Elephas maximus indicus: one gene and its partners. The protein of the gene in region 4 interacts with the protein of the main gene of each other region in a pairwise test. Links are inferred from orthologs where the notes say so. Each region holds a gene or a part of one and is shown on either strand. Other genes may lie near its edges. The genes, in order: HNRNPF, NTAQ1, cone-rod homeobox protein and TLE5.

What was found.
Region 1: the proteins of TLE5 (region 4) and HNRNPF interact in binary tests that used the Homo sapiens proteins (3 or more experiments, as listed by UniProt). The two-hybrid records come from large-scale screens. The link is inferred for Elephas maximus indicus from reciprocal best matches to the Homo sapiens genes TLE5 and HNRNPF.
Region 2: the proteins of TLE5 (region 4) and NTAQ1 interact in binary tests that used the Homo sapiens proteins (3 or more experiments, as listed by UniProt). The two-hybrid records come from large-scale screens. The link is inferred for Elephas maximus indicus from reciprocal best matches to the Homo sapiens genes TLE5 and NTAQ1.
Region 3: the proteins of TLE5 (region 4) and cone-rod homeobox protein interact in binary tests that used the Homo sapiens proteins (3 or more experiments, as listed by UniProt). The two-hybrid records come from large-scale screens. The link is inferred for Elephas maximus indicus from reciprocal best matches to the Homo sapiens genes TLE5 and CRX.

What each region holds. Positions count from the first base shown.
Region 1 is NC_064834.1:6,680,473-6,688,418, forward strand, and holds the start of HNRNPF (heterogeneous nuclear ribonucleoprotein F), read left to right. Parts: upstream 1-4,946; 5' UTR 4,947-5,031; intron 5,032-5,357; 5' UTR 5,358-5,423; intron 5,424-5,641; exon of another isoform or gene 5,642-5,738; intron 5,739-7,946.
Region 2 is NC_064833.1:19,443,634-19,451,078, reverse strand, and holds the start of NTAQ1 (protein N-terminal glutamine amidohydrolase), read left to right. Parts: upstream 1-4,434; 5' UTR 4,435-4,542; coding exon 4,543-4,631; intron 4,632-7,445. UniProt on the Homo sapiens protein: Mediates the side-chain deamidation of N-terminal glutamine residues to glutamate, an important step in N-end rule pathway of protein degradation.
Region 3 is NC_064829.1:101,073,878-101,081,369, reverse strand, and holds the start of cone-rod homeobox protein, read left to right. Parts: upstream 1-4,492; coding exon 4,493-4,592; intron 4,593-6,349; coding exon 6,350-6,501; intron 6,502-7,492. UniProt on the Homo sapiens protein: Transcription factor that binds and transactivates the sequence 5'-TAATC[CA]-3' which is found upstream of several photoreceptor-specific genes, including the opsin genes.
Region 4 is NC_064821.1:6,146,859-6,154,268, reverse strand, and holds the start of TLE5 (TLE family member 5), read left to right. Parts: upstream 1-4,408; 5' UTR 4,409-4,526; coding exon 4,527-4,553; intron 4,554-5,599; coding exon 5,600-5,697; intron 5,698-7,410. UniProt on the Homo sapiens protein: Transcriptional corepressor. Acts as a dominant repressor towards other family members. Inhibits NF-kappa-B-regulated gene expression. May be required for the initiation and maintenance of the differentiated state.

The DNA of each region.
Region 1 (7,946 bases), on a different chromosome or scaffold from region 4:
GTTCTGGTTTCTTTGTAGACAAGGAGAAGCCCTACCCCTTCTCTTTTCTCCTCCCTCTCTCATTGCCACATTATTCCACCAATCCACTTTATTCCAATTCATCTTTTTACGTATGAACTTTTTTCTTCCTGTCGCAGGTCAGAAACTTTCAAAGTCAACATTATTAGTAAGAGGGATTATTATGAAGATCTCAAATTTATTCCATTTTTCCATGATAAAACTTGGAATTTATTTTTCATAAAGTATTCAAAATGTAAATGTTAGCAGGACACACTGCTGCTTAATAAACTCCAAGTGATAAAAAATACAGAACTTCTGACAAAAGCATAGATAATATAAAATGCTTAGAACGTACTTAGCTCTCAGAGGGAGGGCTGGAAGCCACAGGGCCTGGGCCCACACTTCTGTCCCCTACTTCCCAACAGAGTGAGACTCGGGAGCCACTGGCCAGCTCTGGCCTCCTTGCTCCCTTGCCATTGGGGAGCAGAAACTCTGCCCTGGGGAAGGAGAGGCAGGAGGAGGCTGGCGTTCAGAGGGGAATATGGGGCTGAGGCCCAGGCCTCAGTGCCAGGCTCCCTCCCACCCATCCAACCATGGTGGTTTTGAAATACAAGCTAGAGTAGCAAGGAAGCAATGGTCTGTTAGTCAAATTTTTATTACTTCCCTGTTCCCAACGCATCAGTGCTTCCCACTGACTATATATTTATAAGGATAATAATCAACATAAAACAGAATCCCCACTTTTCACTTCTCTGCCACCTGTGTTCTGACATCAGCTGCCCATGCAGCACTTCTTCCTCCAACCCTAACCACCCAGAGCTAGGTCAGACCTCACAAGTTAACGGACACAGTCCTCAAGACTGCCAAGGCTGCCCAAGACATCAAATGCCAGCCCCAGCTCCCCAGGGCTCCCATCACTTCTGACCTGCTGGCTACAAATCCGGGGGTGCCCTTTATACCCTCAGGATACCAGCCATAAGCTCAGGCATTCTCAGCCCCTTCACTTCTGACCTGCTGGCTCCCACTACTCCCTTGGGCTTGAGAATTCGATGGAACGATTCACAGCAAGCACTATACCATGATCCCAACTTTATTACAAAGAATACAAATCAGGATCGGCACAAAGAAAAGACACATAAAGGGAGGCCTAGGAAGGTCTCCAATGCGAAGCTTCCATGTCCCGAGAAGGGACTAGTTACCCCCCACTTTCATTAACCGGAAAGCCCACGGAACTTCAGTGGCCACAGCCTTTGTCAGGGTTCATTGAAACGGCCGTCTCCCTTGAGGTCAGCTGATACCACAAAGTGGTCGTTCTGGTTTGGCAATCCCCTCACTTGAGTCACACATTAGCATAAACTCTCAGGTGTGGTCTGAAGGCCTATCAACAACGACCCAAACAATACCAAATCCACTGCAGTGGAGTCAATTCCAACTCATAGTGAGACCCTATAAGACAGAGTTGAACTGCCCCATAGGATTTCCAATGCTGTAAATCTTTCCTGAAGCCAACTGCCATATCTTTCTCCCTCATAGTGTCTGGTGGGTGCGAACCAGTGACCTTTTGGATAGCAGGTGAGGGCTTTAGCCACTTGCCGCCATGGCTCCTACAGATAAAAACAGCACTTCAATTTCTCAGAAATTCCAAGGGTTTAGAGTTATTGCTCAGGAAACAACAACAACAAAAAAAACAAACCCAGTGCTGTCAATTCCGACTCTCAGCGACCCTACAGGACAGAGTAGACCTGCCCCACATCCTCCAAGGAGTGCCTGGCGGATCCGAACTGACGACCCTTTGGTTAGCAGCCGTAGCACTTAACCACTACGCCACCAGGGTTTCCTATTGCTCAGGAATCAAGGATAAAGACCAAAATTACTTTAAGTTAGTGTGGAAGGAGCTCTGGTGGTGCAGTGGTTAAAGTGCTTAGCTACTAACTAACAGGTTAGTGTCTCAAACCCAGCAGCTGCTTCAAAGGAGAAAGATATGACAGGCTGCCTCCATAAAGATGACAGCCTTGGAAACCCTGTGGGACAGTTCTCCACTGTCCAATAGGGTCACTGTGAGCCAGAATAGACACGATGGCAATAAGTTTTTGGTTTAAAGTTAAGGTGGAGCCCCTGGCTAGAGGTTCGAGTCCACTCAAAAGCAGTGCAGAAGAAAGGCCTGGCGATCTTCTTCCAAAAAATCGGCCATTGAAAACCCTACGGAGCACACTACTCTGGCACACGTGGGGTCACCATGAGTCAGTTAATATAAATAAACCCCAAAATACTGTTTCCAAAATTTCTTAAAATTTGAAATATTTCTTCATTCAAAAACTGTATTATAGTAAGTTAAAAATCACATCACTGGTTTATCTGTAATCTTTTATCCAAAAACAACTAAATAGGGCAAAATGACAACACTTTGAAAAATTGTTACAATATTATCTGTAACTTTCCCTATGTGTTAAGTATTCCATCATTTTCAAAAAGTTAGTTACTTAGAGAGAGAGACAGTTGGAGACGGAAAACTGCAAGCCGCCCCAACCCCCAGCACATCTTGATCCACATGAAGTTTTCTGACGGTCCTGAGGGTCTGCAGAGGTAAAGGCATCCAACGGTTAATAATGGGAAAACTCATGATTGGACCAAAACGCTGAAGACTTGGAATAGAGACAGAGCTAGACCTCGAGTCACTAACGTCCAACTCATTTCACTAATGTGCATGCCAAGACTCCAGTCTCTAGCCCAGCCTGCCTGGGAAATGCGCAAGGGAACGGTCCCCAACTTGACCAACGTTACCCAGTCCACCGCGGTCTGCTCTTGTGCAAAGCAACCAGCTCAAGCAAATACCCATCAAGCACGGGGAGTGCCGTAACCCCTCTTTCACTATTTGACACACATGAAAGTGCTGTTTGGCTGTTCCCTCTGAATGAACTGTAATTAATCCAAGGGTCCAGCCTTCATGCTGATGCACTCCGTGAATAAGCACTGGTGCTGCTTTCAAAACCAAAACCCACTGCCATCAAGTTGACTCCAACTCACAGCCATCCTAAACAGAGTAGGACTGCCCCATGGGGTTCCCAAGGGTGTAAATCTTTACAGAAGCAGACTGCCACAACTTTCTCCTGAGGAGCAGTTGGTAGGTTTGAACTGACAACCTTTTGGTTAGCAGCTGAGTGCTTTAACCACTGCACCACCAAGGGGCAGGCAGTGCTGCTTCAGAGGAGCATTTTTCTGTGTTGGTCCAGAAAGTTAACCAGACCATGCTATGACTGCTAAACCTGCCTGCTTCCTATCTGCAAAATGAAAGCTGAAATGGGATAAAACCCTGGAAAATTTATTACAACTTCTGACTCCATTAGGCAGGGATCTTATCCCTCGCCACTGCCTAATAGAGCACCTGGTCTTAAGGAGCGATATTTCCTTTGGACGGGGCCTATACTGTAACTGGACAATTCAATTTGCTTTCTCATTTCCTTCATTCTCTCAGATGGGAAAGGGAGGCAGAGAAGGGCTTTGTTTATGAGCCAGCCTTAAAGTCCCGTCTCTTTGTGGGACCTAGAGTGTGCCTTTCTGCAACATGTGCTGTGAAGGGAGTCTTTCTGGGGTTTCTTATTAAGAATACCTATTTAATTTTTGAGGAGCCCTAGTGGTGCAGTGGTTAGAGCTTGGTTGCTAACCAAACGGTCAGTAGTTCAAATCCACCACTCTTCAGAAACCCTATAGGGCAGTTCTACTTTCTCCTATAAGGTCACTATGAGTCAGAATTATACCTCAAATTAATTTCCTCCTCACATCTGCACCTCCTCTGACACCTGCATTTTCTATTATTTTTTTCCCTGGAGCCAGCTTCTTTTTTAACTGCACTCCTTTCTTCATTATGGCCATCCACTCATAATATGACACAATTCCAAGCACTCCCTTAATTTTTTCCTGTAAATCTGCTTACCCTGTTGATAAATACCTTATATCTTCCCTTTATGAAGGCAGTTCCAAAAGTGGAACCTGTCAAGAAAATCGGAAACCCTGGTGGCGAAGTGGTTAAGTGCTATGGCTACTAACCAAAAGGTCAGCAGTTCAAATCCACCAGGTGCTTCTTGGAAGCTCTATGGGGCAGTTCTACTCTGTCCTATAGGGTCGCTATGAGCCGGAATTACACCTCAAATTATTTAATTTTCCGGCTATGAGTCGGAATCGACTCAACGGCAACGGGTTTTCTCGATCAAGACAATCTGCTTCACTGCCTCAGGCAGAGTAGCCATTAACCACTCAGTCCATCGGCTCCGGGGCTCTGTGATTCCGAGCCACGGGACACGTGGGCAACGTCTGTCAGACTGACTAATCCGGCTTTAAAACCTAGCACTCAAAGACGCCTTTACTACGCCTCAGGTGTTCTGTCTCCTCTCTCAGCAAAACTTATTTTCTTCTCTCACGCGTCTATTCACTGCAGGGCTCCTTTGGGCTCTTTTTTTTGTTTTCATCGGGGATAATTTTTAACCTAGTCCGTATCCTCCAGGGCTTCGGCAGTGACCAGTGGGCCACTTCCCTCCCCTGAGTAGGGCCTGGCCCGTCCCGCTACGCCTCTCCCCACAACGTCCCTGCTCCGGGCGGCCGCTTTCCGGAGTGGCTCCCCCGAGGCCTCGGCCCCAGCAGGCCAATCGCTAGCTCCGCTCTGGGCGCGTCACAATGGCGCGCTGGCGGCCCCAGCCCCGCCCAGCTCCCAGGAGGCCTCGCGAGCGGAATAGCCCGCTAAACCCCGGTCGCGCGCGGAAGGAGAGCGGGTCGAGTCCACAGGGAGGGGGCAGAGCCAAGGAGCACCGTCCAGGTCATTGGACCAGAGTGCCTCAGCGTCTCTCGTCTCCGCCGGCATCAGCCCCGCCCCACGCCCGCACGGCCAATCGCCTGCTCCGCTACGGGAACGTCACAATGGCGCCCTCGAGGCCCCGCCCCCTAGATGCCCGCCCCGGAGGCCCCGCCCCGCCTTGGTCCTTTCCTTCTTCCGGCTCCGCGGTGGAACCAGGACTGCGTCGCGTCTTACGAGAGCTGAAGGTGGGGATCAGCGAGGGGGACGAGTCCGCGGTCTCGCCAGCAGTCGGCAGACGGGCGAGGGTGCAGACTTCCAGGGCTGCCGCTCTCAGGAGCCTAGGGTGTGGGGCCGAGCAGGGGCCGGAGACGCCGATGGTATCGGGGCCTCCCGGAAGCCGCGGGTGCGCACGACGCGGCGGGAGTTGTAAGCTCGTGCCCGCCCGCGCGCTTGGCCCCGCCCCCTGGGGGGGCGTCCGGGCGCGCTCGCAGGGGTTTCCATGGTGATGGTAAACAAGCCTCAACTGCCTCTGGTACAACTGCCAAGTCCACCGCGTTCCACCCTTTTCTAGGTACTCAGGCAGGACGAGGGAAGTGCCGGATGTGAAGAGCGAGAGCGTGGAGTCTCCGAGCCCGAGGTGAGGGGCGACCTGGGGCGGGACAGGGTGGGGGGCCCGAGGTCAGGGCGCTCACCCGGGGGCGGGGAACTGGGAGAATTGGGCGTGGGGGCTGCGGAGCCGAGATTAGGCGTGGGGGCGGGGTCTGAGGTCAAGGGCGCACACCCGGGGACGGGGCGGCAGGGACGGGCCAGCAAGGGGTGGGGACTGTGGGGGATTTAGCAATCGGTAGGCGGGGTCCATGGGCCCGGCGGGAAGGGCTTGAGTTCGCGGCGGAGAGCAGAGAGTGTGCGGAAGGCTCCGGTAAGGCCGCGGCTGGCGGAGCGGACTGGAAGGGTGAGTAGCCAGGCCCGCCACTTGTGGGGTGCGGAGCCGTAGTCGGGGAAGGAGTTCGTTCTTCTGAGGCAGGCAGCACATGATGGGGGTTCAAGTGTACGACTTCACTGTGGGAAACGGCAGCTCCGCCCTCCTCCCCAGCTCTCGCTCTCCCGGGAACCATTTTCAGCCCTTGGAGACTTTTTTCCAGAGCCTTCTCTCCTCAGGGGCCCCGCTCTGGGCCCTTCCGTCTCTGCGTGTCTCGCTGTTCCGTGGAGGCACCGTTTTTCGGATGTAAATCTTTGGTGCTTGTCTTTTGCCTCGTGAGCGCAGTTTTGGTGAGAGTTCAGTCAGCTCCTTGTTTCTCCTTTACTTGGTATCTTTGAACGTACTTTCTGCTAAGAGACTCGCGGACGCCGCAGCCCGCGCTCTGGTCGCCCTTCCCGCCTCAGTTGAGCGCAGAGCGGTCTCCTCGCGTCTCCACTTCCGTTTCCTCGTCCCGCTCCCTCCCCGCCGGGACAGTGGCTGCCGAGCCGGCCTGCGGGACCCTGGGCCTGGCGCCTCCCTTCATGCGAGTCCGTTTGCTATAACAGACGCGGGTGCTGATGAGCATGATGGCGCCGGCCGCCCCCGCCCCCACCCGACCCGACCCCCGCCCCCGCCCCGGCGCCCGGCCCGCCCGCGGACGCGCGGTTTTCGCGGCCTGGAGCCACGCGGGGAGCGGGCTCGGGGACGGCCCCACTCTAGGCCTCGCTCCTGGTCCTTTCGGGAGGCCCCGGGCCGGCGCAGCCGCTCGGAGGAGCCGCCTGGCCCCGGAGCCTGGCTCCCGCCGGAAGAGGCGGCCGCGCCGTCTGGTGGGGGAGGGGCAGGGCGCCCGGCCGCGCCGTCTCCCTCGTGGCGCCCTCCGTCCGCATGACTTCTGGGGGCGCCTCGGCCGGCCGGTGCGCGAGTAACTCGGCCGCGGGAGGGCCGGGCGGGTTCGCTCCTCTAGTTTCCGCAGCTGCTTGCGGGGCTCTGGGGCTCCTGGCGGCTGCTTGGACTCTGAGGGCGGGAGGGCCTGCGGCTCGTGGCCGACCGAGGTGGGACCGCCCGGGGTGGCCCGGCCTGGACGGGGCCGCAACCTGCTGGCGCGGGGAGAGTTGCGAAAACTACAGATGACCTTTTATAAAAAAAAAAAAACACCGAAACTGATTGTAATATATTTTCAGTGCGTGTTTTTGAAAGTTTTTAGTAAGTGAAAATATTCCCGGCTCTTCGGTTAGACAAAAGATATGATGTATCAGTGAAAAGTGATACTTACGGTGCTCATTTTTAGACAAAATTTTTTTCATTTCAAGATAAGGAGTAGGTTTATTTTAATCAGTATTGGGAGAGATTAATTACTGACATTAAATCCATGCTTCGCTTTGAGCATCTTTTATTCTTGTATACCCAGTGCATATTTATAAATTGAACGTATTGTTTATATGTTGTAATCTATTTTTTTCTTTGATAATCTTTACTTTTTTGTTCCTTTTTTTTTTAAGCTTCCAAGTAACTTTTTCTTTCAGTTAAGGCTAGTATTAAAAGCTTTCCTTTAAACATAAAATATTCAAGTAAAACTATGAACTGATTTAAGGGAAGGAGTAAATGGGAGGGTTTCCCCTCGCGTGTGGCCAAACCGTGAAGGAAAGAAAGGCTCAAGACTCGATCCTCTCGGGGTAGGTGCCTGGAGGGGCTATGGGGACAGGAGGAGACTTCAGTGTCTAGCCTGTCCTCAGTGGCTGCCCCTAGTGGAGATAAGGCCCCGGCGTCGGAGGCGGTGACATCGCGCCAACCCCTCCCCCATCACCTGAGCTGTGGCGCTGTACTCTTTCTAGAACCACGTTAACTGACGCTTACTAGGCCTAGGCACTCAGCTGTAGGTTTAACCGCATTTTCTAATACTCATACAATGTAAGCGAGGTACGCTGTTAAAACGGCGGCTGGGAGAAAAGTTATTTGCCCAGGGACACAGTTGGGACAAGGACTCAGGTTGGCCTAACAGGGCTTCCTTTCCCCGGTGACAGCTGCCCTGAGCCTGGCTCTTTTTGATGGGCAGGTAGAGATTAGGGCCCAGCCTAGTTTATTTTACATTTTAATTTATAAATATTTGAGCTTGTACTTCTAAGGATTTTTAAAAACAACCACATTAAAACAACTGCTTAGTATCAAATACCCAGTGTTCAGATGTCACTGATTGTGTAATGT
Region 2 (7,445 bases), on a different chromosome or scaffold from region 4:
TTCTGGCCAACTGACTGGAAGAGATTCATATTCATGCCCATTCCAAAGAAAGGTTATCCAATGGAATGTAGAAATTATCAAACAATATCATTAACATCACATGCAAGTAAAATTATGCTGAAGATAATCCAAAAACATTTGAAGCAGTACATCAACAGGGAACTGCCAGAAGTTCAAGCCGATTTTGGAAGAGGACATGGAACGAGGGATATCATTGCTGATGTCAGATGGATCTTGGTTGAAAGCAGAGAATGCCAGAAAGATGTTTACCTGTGTTTTACTGACTATGCAAAGGCATTTGACTAGGTAGATCATAATAAATTTTGTGGATAACATTGGGAAGAATGGGAATTCCAGAACACTTAATTGTGCTGATGAGGAACCTGTACATAGACCAAGAGGCTGTCGTTTGAACAGAACAAGGTGATAATGCATGGTTTAAAATCAGAAAAAGCGTGCGTCAGGGGTGTATCCTTTCACCGTACTTATTCAATCTGTATGCTTAGCATATAATCTGAGATGCTGGACTATATGAAAAAGAATGGTGGCATCAGAATTGGAGGAAGACTCATTAATAACCTGCTAAAAAAAAAAAAATTTTTTTTTTTTTTTATATACAGGTGGGAAACCGTGGTGGGGTTATGGTTAAGAGCTTGGCTGCTAACCAAAAGGTTGGCAGTTTGAATCCACCAGGCACTCCTTGGAAACTCTATGGGACAGTTCTACTCTGTCCTTTAGGGTCGCTCTGAGTCAGAATCAACTTGAAGGCAAAGGGTTTGTTTGTTTTTTAACATGCAAATGGGAAACCCTGGTGGTGTAGTGGTTAAGAGTTCAACTGCTAACCAAAAGGTCAGCAGTACAAATCCACCAGGTGTTCCTTGGAAACCGTATGGGGCAGTTCTACTCTGTCCTACAGTGTCGCTGTGAGTCGGAATCGACTCGATGGCAGTGGGTTTGATTTTTTTTTAGTATACAAATGACAAAACCTTGCTTGCTGAAAGTGAAGAGGACTTGAACCACTTACTAAGGAGGATAAAAGACTACAGTCTTCAGTATGGATTTCATCTCAACATAAAGAAAAAAATCATCGCAACTTGACCAATAAACAAAGATCATGATAAATGGAGAAAAGATTGAAGTTGTCAGTGATTTCATTTACTTGGATCCACAATGAATGCCCATGGAAGCAGCAGTCAAGAAATCAAACAAAGTATTGCATTGGGCAAATCTGCTGCAAAAGGCCTCTTTAAAGTGTTAAAAAATAAAGAAACTTGAAAACTAAGGTGTACCTGACCCAAAGCCATGGTATTTTCAATTGCTTCATATGCATGTGAAAGCTGGACAATGAATAGGGAAGACTGAAGAAGAATTGATGCCTTTGAATTATGGTGCTGGTAAAAAATATTTAACATACCGTGGACTGCCAGAAAAAGGAACAGATCTGTCTTGAAAGAAGTACAGCCAGAGTACTCCTTAGAAGCCAGGATGGCAAGAGTTCATCTCACGTACTTTGGACATGTTATCAGAAGGAGCCAGTTCCTGGAGAAGAACATCATGTTTGGTAGAGGGTCACTGAAAAAGAAGAAGACCCTCAATGAGGTGGATTGACACAGTGCCTGCAACAATGGGCTCAAACAGCAAGGATTGTAAGAATGGTGCAGGACCAGGCAGTGTGTTGTTCTGTTGTGCATAGGGTCTCTATGAGTCAGAACTAACTCGACGGCACCTAATAACAACAAGAATATACAGTAAAACCTACAGAATCCAGAACCCGTGTAAGATGGAAACCTGTCAGAGAAAGAAAACTCAAAAATTTTTCACCAATAGACAGCTATAGAAAAGTGGTATGACTACACTCTTTCACAGGTGGAGAACTGGCAAGACTGGGAAAAATAAGGCAGTCCCCTAGAGTTCCAGCTCTCACAGGTTTCACTGTATATTGAAGTGTGCATTGGGAACTAAGAGGCAATAAATTGATAACTGATACAAGAACCTATGCTCAAAGTCTTTAGGTCTTTCGGCCTTTAGGACTCATGAGGTTTTGAGAATCTGACTCTAGACGGCCTATAGACCAAACTGAGAATTTCAGCTTGTATAATGAGACATTCTCTGATCAGCTATATATGTTCATTGCAAATATAAACAATACAGAAGGCTATAAACTGTACAGTGAAAGTCCTTGATAATGGGCATGGATTTACCAGAGACAAATACTGTTTTAACACTTTGCTATCTTTCCTTCCATACCAAAAAAACCCCAAACCCATTGCTGTGGAGTTGATTCCAACTCATAGCGACCCTACAGGACAGAGCAGAACTGCCAGGTAGGATTTCCAAGGAGGCTGGTGTATTGGAACTGCTGACCTTTTCGTTAGCAGCCTAGCTCTTAACCACTGCGCCACAATGTTGCCAATTGCCAATCTGACACAAAGGGTCCTTGCCTTTTCCTGAGTACCAATACACGCAAAAGACAAACTTTACCTTCGACAAGCTTTATTTTGCTTGAGTCAAGCAGAAGGAGTCAGCAGGGATCTAAGCCTCTCTAAAATACTGACTTGAAGAGGGAAGCAAAGCTAGGGCTTATATGGGTTCGGTGGAGACAGTGAAGTAACGAATATTTAGTGGGCTTCCTTCAAGGGGCAGATACTTCTCAGAATGGCGGCGCATGTTAATTAAGTTGCCGGCACATCTGGAATCCAAGATGGAACCCGCTGATGTTCAAGGTGGAGTCCTCTCAGCAGCTCTTGGCATCACTTACTATGGGATTATAGTGCAGGCGCACTGATCTTTGGCACTACATCACCATCTTTGGAGGGCTAAGGAAGGGTAAACAGTGGCCGCATTTTGTTCTTCTGAGCCTGTAAAGGGGGGAGGGACTAGAAAAACACTAAGAAGGAGAAAGTAGTTTACAGGTTGTTTCAGCCTTATTTCATGTTGACATGGTGTGGTTCCTATTTATCCAACTTCTAGATGGTAATCTTTTAACAGTGCTTTCCTTCTGCCAGCACAGTTAACCCTACCTGTCTCACCAAACCAAAAAAAAAAAAAAAAACCAAACCCAGTGCATCGAGTTAATTCTGACGCATAGCAACCCTATAGGACAGGGTAGAACTGCCCCATAGAGTTTCCAAGGAGCTCCTGCCAGATTCAAACTGCCAACCCTTTGGGTAGCAACCCTAGCACTTAACCACTATGCCACCAGGGTTTCCCCTGTCTCACCAGGGCTCCAATATTGGCAGCAAACAATCCAATAGATGTTCAATATCATGGGGTTGGCAACCAGTGTCACAAAACAATGTGTATTAATTGCTTAATGAGAAACTAATCTGCTCTATAAACCTTCATCTAACGTACAAATTAAAAAAAAGAAACAAATACATGTTTAACACAAGGATTCCATGCGGACTGTTTAACTTTTTTTCTTTTTTTTTTAACTTAATATATCAAGGTATCAATACGTCTTTCCAAGTCAGTATATACAGACTTCCTAATTAAAAAAAAATTAAGGTACAATATGGTTTGATTTGGGGTGATATCCCTCTCTAAAACTGTCCTTGATGTGGTAATATTTGGAATTCCTCCTTCTCTCTTCTCCCCCAGGCTCCCAGTGACTCTAGGCTGGAAGTCCTAAAGCTTAAATTTTCACACAAAGGTTCTCTTATTTCATTTGCACACGTCGAAAGTCTTTGGCGTCTCATACAGTTCTCCGAAGTTGGCAACCCCGTTCCCGGTTGGGGAAGGGTCTCAGACACCTCCGGGAAACTCACAGCGAAGCGCCACCCAGGTTGCAGGTTTAGCAACTCCAAGCCTTCCCCTGCCGACTCCTCTCCTCAGCCGCCCGCTGGTGACCTCTCTCTGCCCAGGCATCCAGGACCCCCCGCGTTACTGTCCCTGGCAGCACCCCTGTCCCCGCTCAAGACCCCGCCCAGCAGGAACCCGCGCCGCCAGCTCCGCCCCTCTAGGAGTCCACCCTCCGGTCCGCTCTCCACCTACACAGAACAAGCACCGTCAGCATCGCCCCGGACTCCACCCACCGCTAACTCACGCCGCTCACCTCGTTCCGGATCCGCCCACCTCACCCCTGGCTCCACCCAGAAGGAACCAGCACTGTCCATCCTCCCCACCCTGAGCTCCGCCCACTGGCTCCACCACCCGGAAACTGCGCCCCCTGACTCCGCCCACCCACCCCTGACCTGCGCGCGCCGGGAACTTGCGCTGCTCTCCCCGCCCCGAGCTCTGGCCGCACAGCCCTGGGCTCCGCCCCCCTCACCCGGCTCCACCACTCGGAAGCTGCTCCGCCCACCCCGCCCCAGGCTCCGCGCGCCGAGAGGTTGGGCGGCTAGCCCTACCCAGGCCCTGCCCTGACCCCGCCCACTCTTCCTAGCCTTGACCGCTCCGCCCTGGACTCCGCCCACCCGGCCGCTGGTTCTCGCAACAAGAACGAGGGCAGGCTCCTCCCGTGGCTCCTCCCCGCGAGCCCTCTGGATCGGTGCAGCTTGTCTGCCTGAGGCCCGGCCCCGGCCCCGGCCCCGGCCAGCCGTCATGGAAGGGGATGGTCCCTCTGCCGCCGCCTCGTGGTACCAGCCGGCCGGCCCCCCGCGGGAAGCGTGTGTCTACAGCAGCTGCTATTGGTGAGGGGAGCGGGCGCAGGTCCCCGAATCTCCCAGCCTCAGCCGGGCTCGCCTCGTCCAGGCCCCTCCTCTGGAGCTCGGGGCCTCCTCTGGAGCTCGGGGCCTCCACTGGCCGGTTTTCCTGTTTCGGAGTGGAGGGAGCGGGAACGGCAGCCCTTGCCGCTGGAGTACAGCGTGGGCAGTAGGATGAGGGGGATTGGTCAGGAATGGCAGAGTCGGTGGTGGTGCCTTACTTCTGGTTGGCGGTTTTTGGCTGGACTTAAGCAGATCCTAGTGGGAACGGGGAAGTTAGAGGCTGAGGGTGGAGCGCAGAGAACCCTTGCAAGCTACTGTGTGGAATCCTGTATGGTTTCAGATCGATGTGAGGGCCATTTTAAGAGTATAGAGGCACAGAGTTCAAAGCAATTTTCCGAGGGTTACCAAGCTAATAGCAGCCAAGAATCCAGTCCATCCCCTCTTGCACTAGAAACCATGGTCTTAACCACTGTGCTGTAACAATAATAACTGTTACACTTACATTGTACTTGCTACATGCCAAGCGTTGTTCTGGGTTGTTTATGTCGTCTAATTCTTTTGAGTCTCACTGGCAGGTAATGTTATTAAAACAAACAAACAAAGCAGTTGCCATTGAGTTGATTCCCACTCTTGACCCCACATGTGTCAGGGTAGGACCGTGCTCCACAGGGGTTTCAATGGCTGACTTTTGCCAAGTAGTTTGAGGTACTGTTGTTACACCCATTTTTTAAAATGAGGACATTGAAGTACAGAGGGGGACAAGTAATTTGCCTAAGGCCACCGTCTTAGTTATCCAGTTCTATAAAAGAAATACCACAAGTGGATAGCTTTAACAAAGAGAAATTTACTTCTTCACATTAAAGTAGGCTAAATGTCCAAATTCAGGGCATCAACTCCAGCGGAGGGCTTTCTCTCTCTGTCGGCCTTCTCATTACTCTTCCCCCAGACTCGGAGCTTCTCTGTGCAGGGACCCTGGATTCAAACAACGCGCTCTGCTCCCAGCACTGCTTTCTTGGTGGTAGGAGGTGCCCTCTCTCTGCTCGCATCCTTTTCCTTTTTGTCTCTTGAGAGATAAAAGGTGGTGCAGGCCATATCCTGGGGAAACTCCTTTTATATTGAATCAGGCATGTGACCTCGGTAAGAGTGTTACAGTCCCACCCTAATCCTCTTTAATCTAAAGTTAAAATCACAGAATGGAGGACAACCACACAATACTGGGAGTCATGGCCTAACCAAGTCGACACATATATTTGGGGGACACAGTTCAATCCATGACATTCTTCATTTTGGTCCCCAAAAAATCACATCCTTGTAGCATGCAAAGCATATTTATCCCATTATATCATAGCAAGTCTTAACTCCAAGTCCAGCATCCAAAAATTCCTCTTCATCTGTGAAATGTAGAATGCAAGTTATCTGCTGACAAAGGTACAATGGCAGAACAGGCACAAGCTAGACATTTCCATTACAAATGGGAGAAACTGGAGGAAAAGAAGGGATAACAGGCACCAAACAAGTCAGCAGAACACATTATATTAGCCCTAAAGTCTTTGAAAAAATCCTCTGTTCTCTGAGACCATTTACAAAATGGCTCCGCCCTCTAGACTCTAGGTATTGGCCACACTTTCTGGATCCTGAGGGGAGGCCCCTCTGCCCTGGGCTTCAGCTCCACCTTCCACGCCCACTGGGACAGCAACTCTGCTCCCTCAGCTTTAGGCACGCCATTCTCCTAGTCCATCTGAGTGGTGACTCCGCCTTTAGAAACATCAGAGGCCATGGCTCCATCCTTTGAAATCCCAGAGGTCCTGGCCATATCTTTTGAGACTGAGGCAGCTTGGCTTCTTGTGTTCCTTGTCTGTTCAGCTTCTGCTTCCTGGTTTCTTGGCTTCTCGGCTCCTAGGGCCTCACGCCCACATCTGCCCTTCTGGGGCAAGTGTTCCAAAGCTCTGTAGCTCCACTGGTAAGTGCCCGGAGGCACCCCACTCCTCTAGGAAGCCTCTTGTGCACAGGCACTCAGCTCTCTCTCTCTGTTGGTCTGCTTCAGTGCCATCTTGCACTGGTCTCTTGGTTCTGCTGCTGCCAGGTCTCTGCTGCTGCTGGTTCTCTGCTGCAGCCACTTCCCTGCTGCTGCAGTTTCTTTGCTGCTGCCGATCCTCTTCTGCTGCTGCTCCTCTATTCATTCACAGTTTCAAAACTGCTTCCACATTTTAGGTATCCGTTAGAACAGCACCCCACTCCTGGTACCAAATTTTGTCTTAGTCATCTAGTGCTGCTATAACAGAAATGCCACAAGTGGTTGGGTTTAACAAACAAATTTATTTTCATCACAGTAAAGTAGGCTAAAAGTCCAAATTCAGGGTGTCAGCTCCAGGAGAAAGTTTTTCTTTCTGTCGGCCTTGTCATCAATCTTCCCCCAGACTAGGAGCTTCTCTGCGCAGGGACCCCGGGTCAAAAGGATGCACTCTGCTTCCGGCACTCCTTTCTTGGTGGTATGAGGTCACCTGCTCTCTGCTTGCCTCCTTTTCCTTTATCGCTTGTAAGATAAAAGGTGGTGCAGGCCACATCCCAGGGAACTCCCTTTACATTGGATCAGGGATGTGATCTTAATAAGGGTGTTACAATCCCACCCTAATCCTCCTTAACATAAAATTACAACCACAAAATGGAGGATAACCACACTACTGGGAATCAATCCCATCCAAACTGATACACATTTTTTGGGGGCCATAATTCAATCCATGACAGCCACTTAGCTTGTGAATTTAGGAATGGGGATTTATAGGCAGAGCCTGGCTCTAG
Region 3 (7,492 bases), on a different chromosome or scaffold from region 4:
TGCTGTGTATATTCTCAACAACAGCAGCAAAGAAATTATAATAAAAATTTTTTAAATAAAATATATTTTTATAAAATATACTTTATTTTTATAAAATAAAATTGAACATAGTAATACAGTCTCTACTTCTCAGGGTTGAGCTGAGAATTTAATAACATCCTGCATAGAGAAGGAAACCTAGTGGCTTAGTGGTTAAGAGCCATGGCTACTCACCAAAAGGTTGGCGGTTCGAATCCACCAGTGGCTCCTTGGAAACTCTATGGGTTACTCTTTCCTACAGGGTCGCTATGAGTCAGAATCGACTCCATGGCAACAGGCTTTTTTTTGGTTTTGCATAGAGAAGACTTGTGTAGTAGTTATCTATTGATGTGTAAATTACACCAAAATTTAGCAGCTTAAAACAATAAACATTTATTATTTCACAAGTTCTAAGAGTCAGGAATCCAGGAGTGGCTTAAAGGGATGATTCTGACTCAGGGCCTGTCATAAGGTTGCATTCAGGTGCTGACCATGGCTGTGGTCTCATCTGAAGGCTTGACCGAGGCTGGAGAATCCTCACAACATGGCCGCTGGTTTTTCCCATAATGGATGAGCCAAGACAGCAAGGCAGAAGCTGCAATATATTTTACAACATAGCCTCAGAAGTCACACTCTTGTCGTTCCTGAAATATCCTGTAGGTTACACAGGTCAGCCCTAATCAGCGTGGGAGGATATCACACAAGGGCGTGGATACCAGGAGGCAAGGATTATTGGCAGCCATCTTGAAGATAAGGAATGCTGATGGTGCAATGATTAAGTGCTCGGTTGCTAACTGAAATGTGGCTCTGTGGAAGAAAGGCCTGGTGATCTGTTTCCATAAAGGTTACAGCCAAGAAAACCCCATGGAGCTCAATTCCACTCTGTAACACACAGGGTCGCTATGAGTTGGAATTGACCGATGGCAACTAATACCACCACCACCATGCTTTAGGAACTGGGGATATAGCAAGAACAAAGACACAGCATCTCTGTTTTTGTGGAATTGTATTTCTAGGTTTCAGTCAGAGAACTGACAATGAAGAAGGAAACATCAGACAGTATTAAGAATGCTGAGGAAAATGAATCGGGGTGATGTGATAATGAATGGGTTTACTTACACCAGGGCATGGTAGACACTCAAAAAACATTTACTGGATGAACAGGAGAAACTCAATTGATGATAAATAAAAAATATCCGTCAAGAGAAGGATGAAAAGAACAGGGATGAGAAGGAATGGAGGGAACAGGTATTAAAATAGATGCCATCCATTTTTTATTCATTTACTTATTTTTCTATTATTTTATTGGGAGTGTTGGGAATACCGCAGGAAATGAGATAAGCCCAGTCCCTGGTCTCAGGTAGCTGACAGAGTGGAATGAAACGGACAGGTAAACAAACATAGAAATACATTATTTTTTTTTAATTTATTTTATTTGTTCTTGAGAATATACACAGCAGACCATACACCACCTCAACAATTTCTACTTGTACAGTTCAGTGACATTGATCACATTCTTTGAGTTGCACAACCATTCTCATCCTCCTTTTTCGAATTGTTCCTCCCCACCATTAACATAAACTCACTGTCCCCTAAGCTTCCTATCTAACCTTTCAAGTTGCCGTTGTCAATTTGATCCCATATAGTAGATGGTTCTTAAAAGAACACAATGCTCAAGGCAGACATTCTTTGCTAGTTAAGCTAAGCTATTGTTTGGTTTTAAGAAGACTTCAGGGGATATTTTTGGTCTAAGGTTTAAAGATTATCTCAGGGAGAAATATGTTATATATAACATACGCCATGTCCTGAAGGACAGGGGAGAGAAAATGTGTGCGTGTGTGTGTGTGTGTGTGTGTGTGTGTGCGGTCTCCAGTTTAGAGTATTGCATGGCTCCCTGGGAAATTATGTCTCAGCTGAGACCTGGAGGATGTGGAGGAGAAAGGGGGCTTAGAGTGGGAAAGAGTCATTCCTGATCTGTTGTTGTCAACTTGTGTCGTGAGTGTCATGCATGTCAGAGTAGAACTGTGCTTCATAGAGTTTTCAAGGCTGTGACCTTTCAGAAGCAGATGGCCAGGCCTGTTTTCCAAGGTGCCTCTGGGTGGGTTTGAATCGCCAACCTTTCAGCTAGTTGAGCGCTTAACCTTTCGTGCTTAACTGTTGGTAGAGCTATGTACTAGAGATCTTTTTAAATCAGTTCATGCCGAACAACCTTATTCTTTTTATTGGCTTCACAGCATCCCTTTGCATAGATGTGCCATAATGTACTTAGCTATTTCCTTTTTGGGTGGATATATAGGTTGCCTCCACATTTTGTCAATTATAAATATGTTTCATTAGAAATCCTAGTATTTACAAACCTCTTTTTGCAAATAACAATGACAAAAATAATCGCCAAGAGTTATATGTTGTTGTTGGGTGCCATCTATCTAGATGATTCTGACTCAGGGCAACCCCATGTGACAGAGAAGAACTGCCCCGAAGTGTCTCCTAGGCTGTAATCTTTATGGGAGCAGATGGCCAGGTCTTTTCTCCCGTGAAGCCTCTGGGTGGGTTTGAACCATCAGCCGTTTGATTAGGAGTCGAGCACTTAACTGTTTCGCCACCAGGGCGTCTAACAGTTGTAGGGCACTTGCTTTGTGCATCGGGTGCTATTTTATGCACCTTAAACATTGGATCCTCACAACAACCTAGAAATGCTAGATTCATCCCCATTTCACAGTGAGGACACTGAGGAACATCCTGGAGGCGAATTGCCAGAACAAATGAAAGATGGTGCTTTACTTTAATAAAAGCTCCCAGTATGTTCCAATTTCCTCTGCCACGCACCCGATAAAGGAGTGGAAAGTCAATACTGCTGTTGTCGTTAGCTGCTGTTGAGTCAGCCCCTGACTCATGGTGACCCTGTATGTTACAGAGCAGAACTGCTCCCTAGGGTTTCCTAGGCTGTAATCTTTATGGAAGTGGCCTTTCTTCCATGGAGCCGCTGGGTGGGGGGTTGAAGCACTAACCTTTGGGTTAGGCACCCATCTCAAACTGCTTGTGCACAGTGCACAAGTGCAACTATTTTGATCTTTGCCCAACTCATAGGTCAAAAACGGTCCCTTTGCTGTCGTTTTAATGTGCCTTTCCCTTACAGTGACCAGCCATCACGGTTTGTTGTGGGCTGTTCCAGTGTTAGCGCTGAAATCCCCACGTCATAGGAAGCCCCTTGTCCCAGTGGTCACCCTCGTCTCCTGGTGATGAGTGAGGCTGAATATCTTCTCCTGTGGTCATAAGGCAGAAAAGATCTTGGAGAAAGAAGTGGCAGAATCAGGCTTTTTTTTAAGGGTAATGTACACACAAGGAGCCCTGGTGGCGCAGCGGTTAAGCACTCAGTTGCTAATTGAAAGGTTGTCCGTTTGAACTCACCCACTGGCTCTGAGGGAGAAAGACTTGGTGATCTGCTCCTGTAAAGGTTAAAACCAAACCAAACCCGTTGCTGTCGAGTCAGTTCGATTCTATTCCGACTCCTAGTGACCCCATAGGACAGGGTAGAACTGCCCCGTAGGGTTTCCAAGGAGTGGCTGGTGGATTCGAACTACTGACCTTTTGGTTAGCGGTGGGTCTCTTAACCACTGCGCCACCACAGCTCACCTAAAAATAACAGCCTAGGGGGCAGTTCTACTGTCACATGGGGTCTATGAATCACAACCGACTCCATGGCATTCAACAACAACCAAGTACACACTGATTCCGTGTTTGTGACTCTGCCTCCTCGCTAACATTTTTTTGTAACCCCAAAGTCAATAGTTACGCTGCTTTTCAGGTCACTTGCGGACGTGCGCGTGCGCATGCACAGGGCAGAGGAAACTGGGTGGCTTGATGCGCACCTTTGCAATTGAGGTTGAACAAGGCTGGTTCTGTTTCCGCTATTTCAGCGTTCCAGGTGACTTTATAAACCGTACGCATAAAACCAAACCCGTTGCCGCGGAGTCAGCTCTGCACAGGACAACGGCAGTACTTTATTTCCAAGCAAAGTGACTGTAGGGTTACTGTGAGTCAGAATCGACTCGAGGGCAACGGGTTTGGTTTGGCTTGGTTTACAAAGTGAGCACTCAGTTATCTGTGGCGTTATCCTTTAACTGCTTTTTGTATTACGTTGAACTATATGGAATTGGTATTTCTACAGGCTAAACGTGAGCAATGTGGTGTTTCAACCGCATATGTCATGGGGTTGCCATGAAGCAGAAGAAACTCGCCAGCAGCTTGTCTTTTTTGGATGATGTCTTCAGCTCTCTGCTGAAACCTCAGTGAGGCTTCAATAGCCGGAAACACAGAGCTGTTTTGCAGTTGAGGAAATTAAGGCACAGAGAGGCGAAATCGATTGCTCAAGGTCATATAACTAAGCAGAGACTCAGGTCATGGGCAAGCGTTTGAGCTTCCCTGTTCTTCTCTTGCAGGCCCCCTGACCTGGAGCCCAGCATCCTGGAAGATCATGATGGCGTATATGAACCCGGGGCCCCACTATTCCGTCAACACCTTGGCCCTGGGTGGTCCCAGTGTGGACTTGATGCACCAGGCTGTGTCCTACCCAAGTGAGTACAGTCATCCAGGCCACCCCAGGCTGACCCCACCTCTTGGGGGGGGTTCTTGGGGGTCTCTTGCTCTCTTTGATGAGCACCTGCAGGGGTGACATCAAGGCCATACACCAGCTGTATGTGTCTGTCTGCAAATGCAAAACAATACCACGTGTCACTTAGAAGTCGTTAGTTGCTGTTGAGTTGATTGCTACTGATGGCAACCCCAGGTGTGCAGACTAGAACTGCTCCATAGGATTTTCAAGGCCTTTTGGAAGCAGATCACGTCTGTCTTCCAAAGCACCTCTGAGTGGGTTTGAACTGCCAACTTTTAAGCTAGCAGTTGATCGCTTAACTGTTCGCATCCCCCAGTGCTGTCAAGTTGACTGAGACTCATGATGACCTTACATACAACAGAATGAAATGTTGCCCGGTCCCACATCATACTCACGATCGACAGCATATTCGAGTCCACCGTTGTGACTATTGTCCCAGTCCTTCTCACTGAGGGGCTCCTTCACCCTCATTGGCTGTAGATTTCACCAAACATGATGTCCTCCTCCAGTGATTGATCCCTCCTGATGATGTGTCCAAAGCAAGCCAGTCAGACAATATTCTGTTATGATCCAGGAAGTTTTCACTGGTTAATATTCAGAAGGAGATCACCAGGCCCTTCTTCCTAGCCTGTCTTAGTCTGGCAGCTCCATAGAAACCTGTCCACCATAGGTGACTCTGCCGGTATTTGAAATACTGGTGACATAGCTTCCAGCATCATAGAAACACACAAGCCACCACAGTAAGACAAACTGACAGATGGATTGTTGACAATTCACTGCTTAGGGATGTGGAAAAGCATAAGGACATTCACAGAAATTTCGGATGGCGGCTCCCTCTAGGGTGGGGGTGGGGACAGCAGCCTGGATGGAGAATCAAGAAGAATTTATATCTGTTAGCAAAGCAGCAAGGAGCTCAAACATAGCAACGATTGCGAGGATGGCGCAGGACCGGGCAGTGTTTTGTTCTGTTGTACACAGGGTTGCTATGGGTCAGAACTGACTCGACGGCACCTAACAACAGCAGCAGCAGCAGTGCTTTATTTCTAAGCCCAGTAAGCACTCGGTCATTTGTGGCATTATTCTTATACCTGCTTTTTGTATTATGTTGAACTACACGGAATCGCCATTCTTATGAACTAAAATTGGTTGAACATCAGCAATGTCATATTTCAGCTGCGCAGTACTAAGATGTTGTTGTTGTGTGCTGTTCAGCTGATTCTGACTCATAGCGACCTTATAGGACAGAGGAGAACTGCCCCATAGGGTTTCCAAGGCTGTGATCTTTATGGAAGCAGAATGCCGCATCTTTCTCCCTCGGAGCTGCTGGGTGGGTTCGAACCACAACCATTCCTTCGTTTAGCAGCCGAGTGCTTAACTGTTGCACCACCAGGGCTCTCTGCATAAGTTTTAGTGCATAATAAATTTCAGAAGGGGAAAGAAAAACTCACGTGCCTCCTTACACGGCTAACACCAATTTCTCTCAGGATGAGGCCTGAACCCCAAAATGAAAAAAGTGTACCCCATTTTCTGGGGGACAAAATGAGGTCTAGAAGGACAGGGAATGGGAGCATCCATAGTCTGGACAGATAGACACCCAGAAAAGGCTTCTTGAGTCCCCACCCGACCTCACAGCCTCACCCCAGCTGTCCTGGCACCCATAGAGGACGAGAGTGGGAGGCTGGGTTGCCTGAGCGCTTCATGTTCCTGTTCCCACCTCAGGCGCCCCAAGGAAGCAACGGCGGGAGCGGACCACCTTTACCAGGAGCCAACTGGAGGAGTTAGAGGCCCTGTTTGCCAAGACCCAGTATCCGGATGTGTATGCCCGTGAGGAGGTGGCTCTGAAGATCAACCTGCCTGAGTCCAGGGTTCAGGTGGGATGTTCTGGTCCCTGGGCTCCTCCTGGACCATATAAGACTTCCATGGACCTTTCTGGTACCCAGGGGAGGGCGGAGGGAGGGGTCATAGAGTAACAGCCAACATTATGAAGTGGCCTAAAGCCTCCTCCCATTATTTTACTGATCTCTCTTGCCACTCTCACCCTTTCTCATTTTACTCCAGCCACACTGACCCCTGGATCTTCCTCTAATGTGCCTTCTGAACATTCGCCTGCCTTAGGACCTTTGCACTCTCTGTTCCTGCTATCTGAAATGCTTATCCCTCAGATAACCACATGGCTTGCCCTATCACTTTGTTTAAGTCTTTGTTCAAGGGCTGTTTTATTAATGAAACCTATACAATACTGACTATAGGGTCGCTATGAGTCGGGATCAACTCAACGCCAATGGGTTAGGTTTTTTTTGGTTATACTGACTATTGCACGTAAAATTGCAACCTTCTACCACTGCAGTCCTTCTGCTCCCCCTTATCCTGCTCAGTGGTTTCCTTCCATAATATTTATCACCTCCAAAAATACAATATGATTTACTTACCTACTGTTTATTTATAATTTGTCTCCCCCAACTAGAATGTCAGTTCCACTGAGGTATCCACAAAGGAGCAGAAGATGGTTAACAATGTCTATAGTTTATTAAAGGATTCCTGGTGGCACAGTGCTGAAAGGTTAGCAGTTTGAACCCACCAGCTGCTCTGTGGGAGAAAGGTGTGGCAATCTTCTCCCATAAAGATTTACAGCCTTGGAAACCCTATGGGACAGTTCTACTTTGTCCAGTAGGGTCGCTATGAGTCGGAATCAACTCAGTGGCAATAGGTTTTTTTTTTTTTTCATAGTTTATTAATTCATGCTTATTAACTGATTGAATGCATGCACAGATGGATGGATGTATGGATATTATGTATGTATGGGTAGATAAATGTATGTATGTATGACTGATGGATGGATAGATGGATATATGTGTGACTGAA
Region 4 (7,410 bases):
TCCAAGGAGCGCCTGGTGGATTCCAACTGCCAACCTTTTGGTTCACAGCTGCAGCACTGAACCACTACGCCACTACCTAGTGCTCCCCAAAATCCCAACTCCTCAGCCCAGGATGCAGGGCCCTGTATAGTCATGGCTCCTGGCCCTCTTCAGCCAATACCTCCCACCACACCTGCTTCATGGCCCACCTAGGTCAGTGCCGTGTTGTGGTCAAGGACTCCAGTACCAGTTGCCATTCCGTTGACCCCGACTGCTGGCAACCCCCCGTGTTGCAGAGTAGAACAATGCTCGATAGGGTATTCTTGGCTGTGACTTTGCGGAAGAAGATCACTAGGACTTTCTTCCGAGGTGACCTGGGGTGGTTCTGAACTGCCAACGTTTTGGTTAGTAGCCAAGCGCTTAGCTGTTTGCGTTACCCAGGGAGCTCATAGGTTTAAATCCTGGCCCTGCCACCTACCAGCTGTGTGACTTTGGGCAAATCTCTTAACCTGTCTCTGCCTTGGTTTTCCGATCTCTAAAATGGGCATGATGGCAGTATCTAAGCATTCAAGCACTTAAGACAGACCCTGGCGTGTAATAAAAATGCATACATATGTTGGTTGGGGTATTATTTTTCATAGTTTGGGCCACACTTCCGGGCTTTTCTATATACTTGAAAACCCCTTTCTTCTGAAAATTACTTCTTCAAAATTCCCCTTCTTCAAAGGCAAACTGTGGGTCCCTCTCTAAGGCCCAGCCCTCGGGGCTGGGTATGTCTGTGTCTGGCTAGAGGCTCCTAAGATGGGAGTGTGCCCTGGTACTGGCAGGTGCCTGCCTAGATGAAGATCAGATTCAGGTGGTTTCCCAGGAGAAAGGGGTCCAGTCCCTATGGCAGGGCTGGAGGAGGGGGCCAGCTTCCTCTGCTGTGACCTGGAAGTCACCCAGGGCCCCGAGCTCAGGAAGACCCCTTAAAACTGTCTTTCTGAGCTCACCATCTTAAGGTCCCTGGATAGCGCAAACGGTTTCTGTTTGAATCTACCCAGTGGGGCCACAGAAGAAAGGCCTGGCAACCTGCTTCCACAAAGATGACAGCCAAGAAAACCCTACAAAGCAGTTCTACCCCGTAACACGCAGGGTTGCCATGAGTCAGAATGGACTCGTCGGCAATGGATTTGGCTTTTGGTTTTTATCACTGTCTTGAAATTCTTGATGTTTTTCAGCAAGAGGTCCTGCATTTTCATTTAGCCCTGGGCCCAGCAAATTCTGTAGCTAGCCCTCACCAGTATGATTTATGGGTCTGCTTATTCCAGAACCCCACAAGAATATGGAAGAATTTGACAAAAGTTCACTCGGTTTCTCTTAAGGCGTCAGTACTAGGGCAGGAGTGCACTTTACGTGACTCCAATCTTTTCTCACCCCGATCTGGGCTCCCTCAGAGCCTTCTTTAAAATGCTGACACTTTGTCCATCCCAGATTTCTTTGCATTTTTAAAAAATATTGCATTAAAATATTATTTATCTTGACTTTTGAGGTTTTTGTTTTGGAGTTTGGGGGGGTGTCCCCTTCAATTTTGCCCACTCATGTCACTCTAGTCCCAGTCCCTTAACTGCCAGAAAGGAGATGGGTTCTGATGCTCCATTTTACAGATGGGAACACTCAAGGCCCAAAGGAGTTACATTCACAGCGGAGGACGCCTACATAGATGATGATGACAGTTAACGGACCCTGTCTTTAGCGTTTTCCAGGAGCCAATCTGAAGATACGTGGGTGGTGCAGATGGTTTCCAATCAACCCTGCTGGTGGAGTGCTTAAGAGCTCACCTGCAAACCAGAAGGTCGGCAGTTCGAATCCACCACCCACTCCTTAGAAACCCTATGGGGCAGTTCTACTCTGTCCAATAGGGTCACTACAAGTTGAAATCCACTCAACGGCAATGGGTGAACCAACTGAAAGGTTGACGGTTTGGAGCTCACCCAGTCACACTGAGGAAGAAAGGCCTGGCAATCTACTTCCGTAAAGATGACAGCCAAGAAAACGTTACAGTGCTCAGTTCTAAGTCTGTAACACATGAGGTCACCATGAAGTGGAATTGACCTGATGGCTTAGGGGCTGATGTTAACGCGCACGTCATTTCAGCAGCCTCTTCAGGGTCTGTTCATGCGGTAGCCGGAGTTGTTGTTGTTGGCAGGTGCCATTGAGTCCGTTCCGACTCAGAGCGACCCTATGTACCACAGAAGGAAACACTGCCCGGTCCTGCGCCATCCTTACAATCCTTGTTATGCCTGAGCCCATTGTCACAGCCACTGTGTCAATCCACCTCATTGACGGTCTTCCTCTCTTCCGCTGACCTTGTACTTTACCAAGCATGATGTCCTCCTCCAGGGACTGGTCTCTCCTGATAACATGTCCAAAGTATGTAAGACGCAGTCTCGCCATCCTTGTTTCTAAGGAGCATTCTGGTTGTACTTCTTCCAAGACAGATTTGTTCGCTCTTTTAGCAGTCCGTGGTATATTCAATATTCTTCGCCAACACCACAATTCAAAGGCATCAATTCTTCTTCAGTCTTCCTCCTTCATTGTCCAGCTTTCACACGCATATGATACGGTATTCATAAGGTTTTCACTGGCTAATTATTTTCAAAAGTAGACTGCCAGGTCCTTCTTCCTAGTGTCTTAGTCTGGAAGCTCAGCTGAAACCTGTCCTCCATGGGTGACCCTGCTGGTAGCTGAATACCGGTGGCATAGCTTCCAGCATCACAGCAATATGCAAGCCCCCCCGCCCTGCCCACGGTACAACAAACTGACAAACACTAGGGGGGCAGCCGGAGGGATACTGTCAAAACCCAAGTCAGGGAGTCAGGGCCCCTCCCTCCCTTTCTCCTCTGCTTACAGCCCTCCAAAGAGTCCCACCTCCCTCAGGGTCAAAGCCCGAGTCCTCCCCACACTCGTGAGGCCCTGTATCATCTACCTCCCTGCCCTCACCTCCCTCTATGATCCACTACAGTTTGCGGGGCCCAATGCCCTGGTGACTCAGTGGTTAAGCACTCAGTCCGTAGTTGGAACCTACCAGCGGCTCTCAGGGAGAAAGACGTGGCAGTCTGCTTCCATTAAGATTACAGCTTAGAAACCCTATGGGGCAGTTCTACTCTGTGCTATAGGGTCGCTATGAGTCAGAATCGACTTGCCAGCAATAGGTTTGGTTTCTTTTTGTTTTTGTTTTTTTGGAATGCAAATCAAAACTGCAGATCACCTTGTTAAAAAAATCAATAATTTTAAAACGGTCACAACTAAGCATTAAACCAACCCTGGCCCTTTTAGGTATAATGTCTTGGCTACTGGGTGATGCTGGTACTCATCGCTTCCCAGGCTCCCCGTGTGCCAGGCACAGTCCTGCCTCAGGGCCTTTGCACTGGCCATTCCTGCCTCCTTGAGCACGTGCCACCTCTATGCCCCTATTGGCTCCCTCCGTCATTTTCTTCTGGTCTTTCTCAAATGTCCCCTTCTCAGGGCAGCCCTCTCTGACCCCCCTGTTTAATACTGCACCCCTTTATGTCCACCTGACGCCTCAGGGTTGTGGCCTCAGGATTTGTTTCTTTTCTGTCACATGTCATCTCCACAAGGGCATCTGGACCCCACCCCACCGCCTGGAGCAGGGCATGGCACACAGTTGGTGTGTGCCGTGGAGTCGATTTACGACTCATGGTGACCCCATGTGACAGAGTAGAACTGCCCCATAGGGTTTCCTAGGCTGGAATCTGTAGGGAAGTGGATAACCATGCCTTTCTCCCTCAGAGCAGATGGGTAGGTTCCAACCTCCCACCTTTAACCGTTGCCACTAGGGCTCCTGGCCACACAGTAGGCGCTCCATAAATGCTCACTGAAGCAACGACTCTTCTGAGGGCCGCAGGTTCCCACTTGCCTTTCCACAGCTGAGGAAACTGAGGCTCAGAGACACCAGCCACCGTGCCAAGGTCACGGAGCATGTGGGTGGCACGCGTCCAGGGCGCGCCATTATAGGGCCTGCGGTGTAGACCAGGGCAGCCTGGCCCCTTCCTCTGACAGTTGGGGAAACCGAGGCCCGGCGAGCCGCCACGGCCAAGGGGCCAGGAGGGGGCCGGGGGCTGAGGCCCAGAGCAAGGTCACGGCCCGGGCGGCGGCGGGGGTGGGGCGCCGCAGGGCTCCCCGGGCGCGCGCCCCCCCCTCGGCGGCGCGCACGGGGCAGCGGCGGCGGCGGCGGCGGCAGCAGGTGGAGCCGGAGCCTTCGCAGCAGCAGCCCGGCCGCGGCCACTCCGGCGGCGCCGCCATTAGACAATAGGAGCGGCGGGTGCGGGCGCGAGCGGGGCGGGGCGGGCCGCGCAGGAAGCGGGCCCGGGGCGCGGCGGGCCGGGCGGGGGCGCAGGAAGCGGCGAGCCGGGCGCGCGAGGCGGCGGCGGCGGCCCGGGAGCGGCCGATCGGCGCCGGGACAAAGGCGCGGCGCCCGGCGCCCCGAGCAGCCCGAGCCGGGGCGCACAGCCGGGGCGCAGCCCGCGCCCCCCGCCGCGACTGACATGATGTTTCCACAAAGCAGGCATTCGGTAAGCGGGGCCCGCCCGGCCCGCCGCGGCCCCCTCCGGCTCCTGGCCTGCACCCCCCAGCTCCTGGGTCTACACCCCCCCCCCACCTCCAGGCCTGCACCCCCCCAGCTCCCGGACCTGGCACCCCCAGCTCCAGGCCCTACACTCCCCCACAACCCCGACTTCCTGGGCCCAGTTTCCCCCAGCTCCTGGGCCCAGCGCCCCAAACCCTAGCTCCCAGCGCGCTGCGCCCCTACTCCAGGCCTGATACCCTCAGCTTCCGGGTCCTGGTCCCCCCCCAAGTTCCCGGGCCCGGCGTTCCCCCCCAGTTCCTAGCCTGGTGCACCCTCCCCAGTTCCCCGGCCCAGCCCCCCCCAGCTTCCGGGCCGGGCCCCCCCACACTTTCCCAGTCCAATCTCCCGAAGCTCCCCAGTCCTGTACCCCCTTTCCTGTACCTCTCCAGCTCCGGGCCCCCCCCTTCCCAGCCAGGCCGGTCCGTAGGCGGTCTTGGCCTGGTCCTGGGAGCTCCGGGAACCCTGCTGGTCACCCCTTGCTCTGGGGCTGCTTGGGGGGCCTGGAGTGGGGGGGGCAATCCTCCCGGAAGAGCGTGGCCTTGGGGAAGGACTCTGGGGACCTGGAGTGTGGACCCCTGAAATATTATGGTTGCTGGGAGACGCCCCTCCCCCAAGGGGACTTTGCAGTGAGGCCTCGGCCCTCCAGGTGGTTGGGGCGCTCCGATGCGCACCCCCTTCTCTGGGCGCTTTGGAGGGGTGGTAGGGGGCGCATCCTGCCCCCCATCAAGGGCAGGCTTTAAAACGCGCCCCCACAGCCTCGGGGGTGGCGGGGGACGGGCGGCTCCAGGCCCACCCACCCCCTCGGCTTCCCCCGGGAGAGGCGGGGGCAGGAAGCGGGGGCGGCAGCCGCGCCAGAGGCTGTAAACATGGGCCCAGGAAGTGGGGCACGAGGGGGGACGCTGCAGCTGCGGCGGCAGCCGCCCCCTGGTCACCCCGGGGAAGGAGGAGGCAGCCCAGCCTGCCTGGCCCTGAATTGCGGCCCCCTCCTCACAGGGCTCGTCGCACCTCCCCCAGCAACTCAAATTCACCACCTCTGACTCCTGCGATCGTATCAAAGACGAGTTTCAGCTCCTGCAGGCCCAGTACCACAGGTGAGCCAGGGGTTGGGGGTTATCTGGAATGGAGATTGCCACCCCCATACATCTACTTTAAAAATATGGAAATAGAGGGTCATATGTATGCCAGCTTCTAGCCTAAACACGTGGCTAGTAAAAACCAAACCTAAATCTGTCCGTTGGATTCAGACTGGTAGTGACCCTATAGGACAGAGTAGAACTGCCCCATAGGGTTTCTAAGGAGCTGCTGATGGATTCGAACTGCTGACCTTGTGGTTAGCAAGCCCAGCTCTTAAACATTGCACCACCTGGACTCCACTTGGCCAGCAGTAACATTTATTCTTCAAATTGACCCTATTTCACAGATGAGAAAAGCGAGGCACAAGAAAGTTAAATGACTTACCCAAAAACAGGTCTGTCTGGCGTCAGAGCCCTCCCCCAGTCCTCAGTAGGTAAAAGACCTCCAAGTCCAAGAAGGACCCTCCGAGTCCAAGATACCCCCCCAAATTTTTTTTTGCAGTCTTCTCTTTCTCTGCCGTTTTGGGGAGAAGGCTCCTGGCAGATTCTCAAAGGAGGGTCTGCCTCCTGAATTGAGTCTTCTAACATTTCTGAAGGGCTTGCCATGTGTCAGGTTTAAGCAGAAGGAACTGTTATTGACCTTGTTTTCTACATCAGGAAACGAAGGCTCAGAGAGGTTAGAGATTGCCTCAGGGTAGACAGCAAGGAAGTGATGAAGCTTAGATTTGAACCCAGTCTCTCCAGGGCTAAGAATGCAAGTTCTCAACCCTTTTGCTATGGAGGGGTCCTCACCTGGGAATTAGAAGTGGGTCCCATGGCCAGAAATCCTAGTGGGGCTGAGACTTTCTCTGGACCTGTTTTCCCACCCACAAAAATGGTCTTCAAAGGATCCTGGGTTTTCTGCAAGAAGAAAGGGGAATAGCGATTTATTTTTATTTTAACAAATATGCAATCTTTTTGTTCACTCATTCTTGCAGTCCTATTACTGTACCCATTTTAGAGATGAGGGAACTGAGGCACAGGGAGTTGAAAGGTCTGAAGCAGCTCGCCAGACAGGCCCCAGGGACTTTGCATTAGTCCTGCCATGTGGAGGGTTTGGGGGCTTCACCTGACCTAGGCCCACCTCATGGTCATCAATCCCAGAGGCCGAGGGCCAGAGGGCAGGCCAGACCCCCTCTGTCAGCTTTGGGTTCTCCATCTACTGGGCCTGAATGTCCTGCTCTACTTTGGGGGGTTCTGCCATGTCAGGGTCACACACAGGATCAACCAGACAGAATGAGGCCTTCCTCAAGAAGGGCCAGAGACCCAGCGTTTCGAGTAAGATTGCTTTTTTTAAACTGCCAACGAACGCACGTTTTTAAAGAAAATAAACTTTGTGGGGGGCAAAGAAACTCCAGCTGTGGATCACCTCTGAACTGTGGGATGTTGTGACCTGGTCAGCCTGGTAAGATCCGTGAGCACTTATTGAGTGCTTACTGTATGCCAGGCCGTGTTATCCAAGCTTTACTGTCTTAATTTATTGAATCTGTACAACCCCACCCTGGGAGGTTGGTACTTAACAGAGGAGGAAACCGAGGCTCAGAGAGGGAGAGGAATTTGCTCAGGGCCACAGAGCATGGAAGGGCTGAGCTATGAACCCAGTCCTTCTGGCTGTGGTATGATGGGAGTGGCTGAGGTGGGTATGGAGGGACAGCCAGTCCGTGGGGACCCCCTACTTGCTTCGGTCTAAAT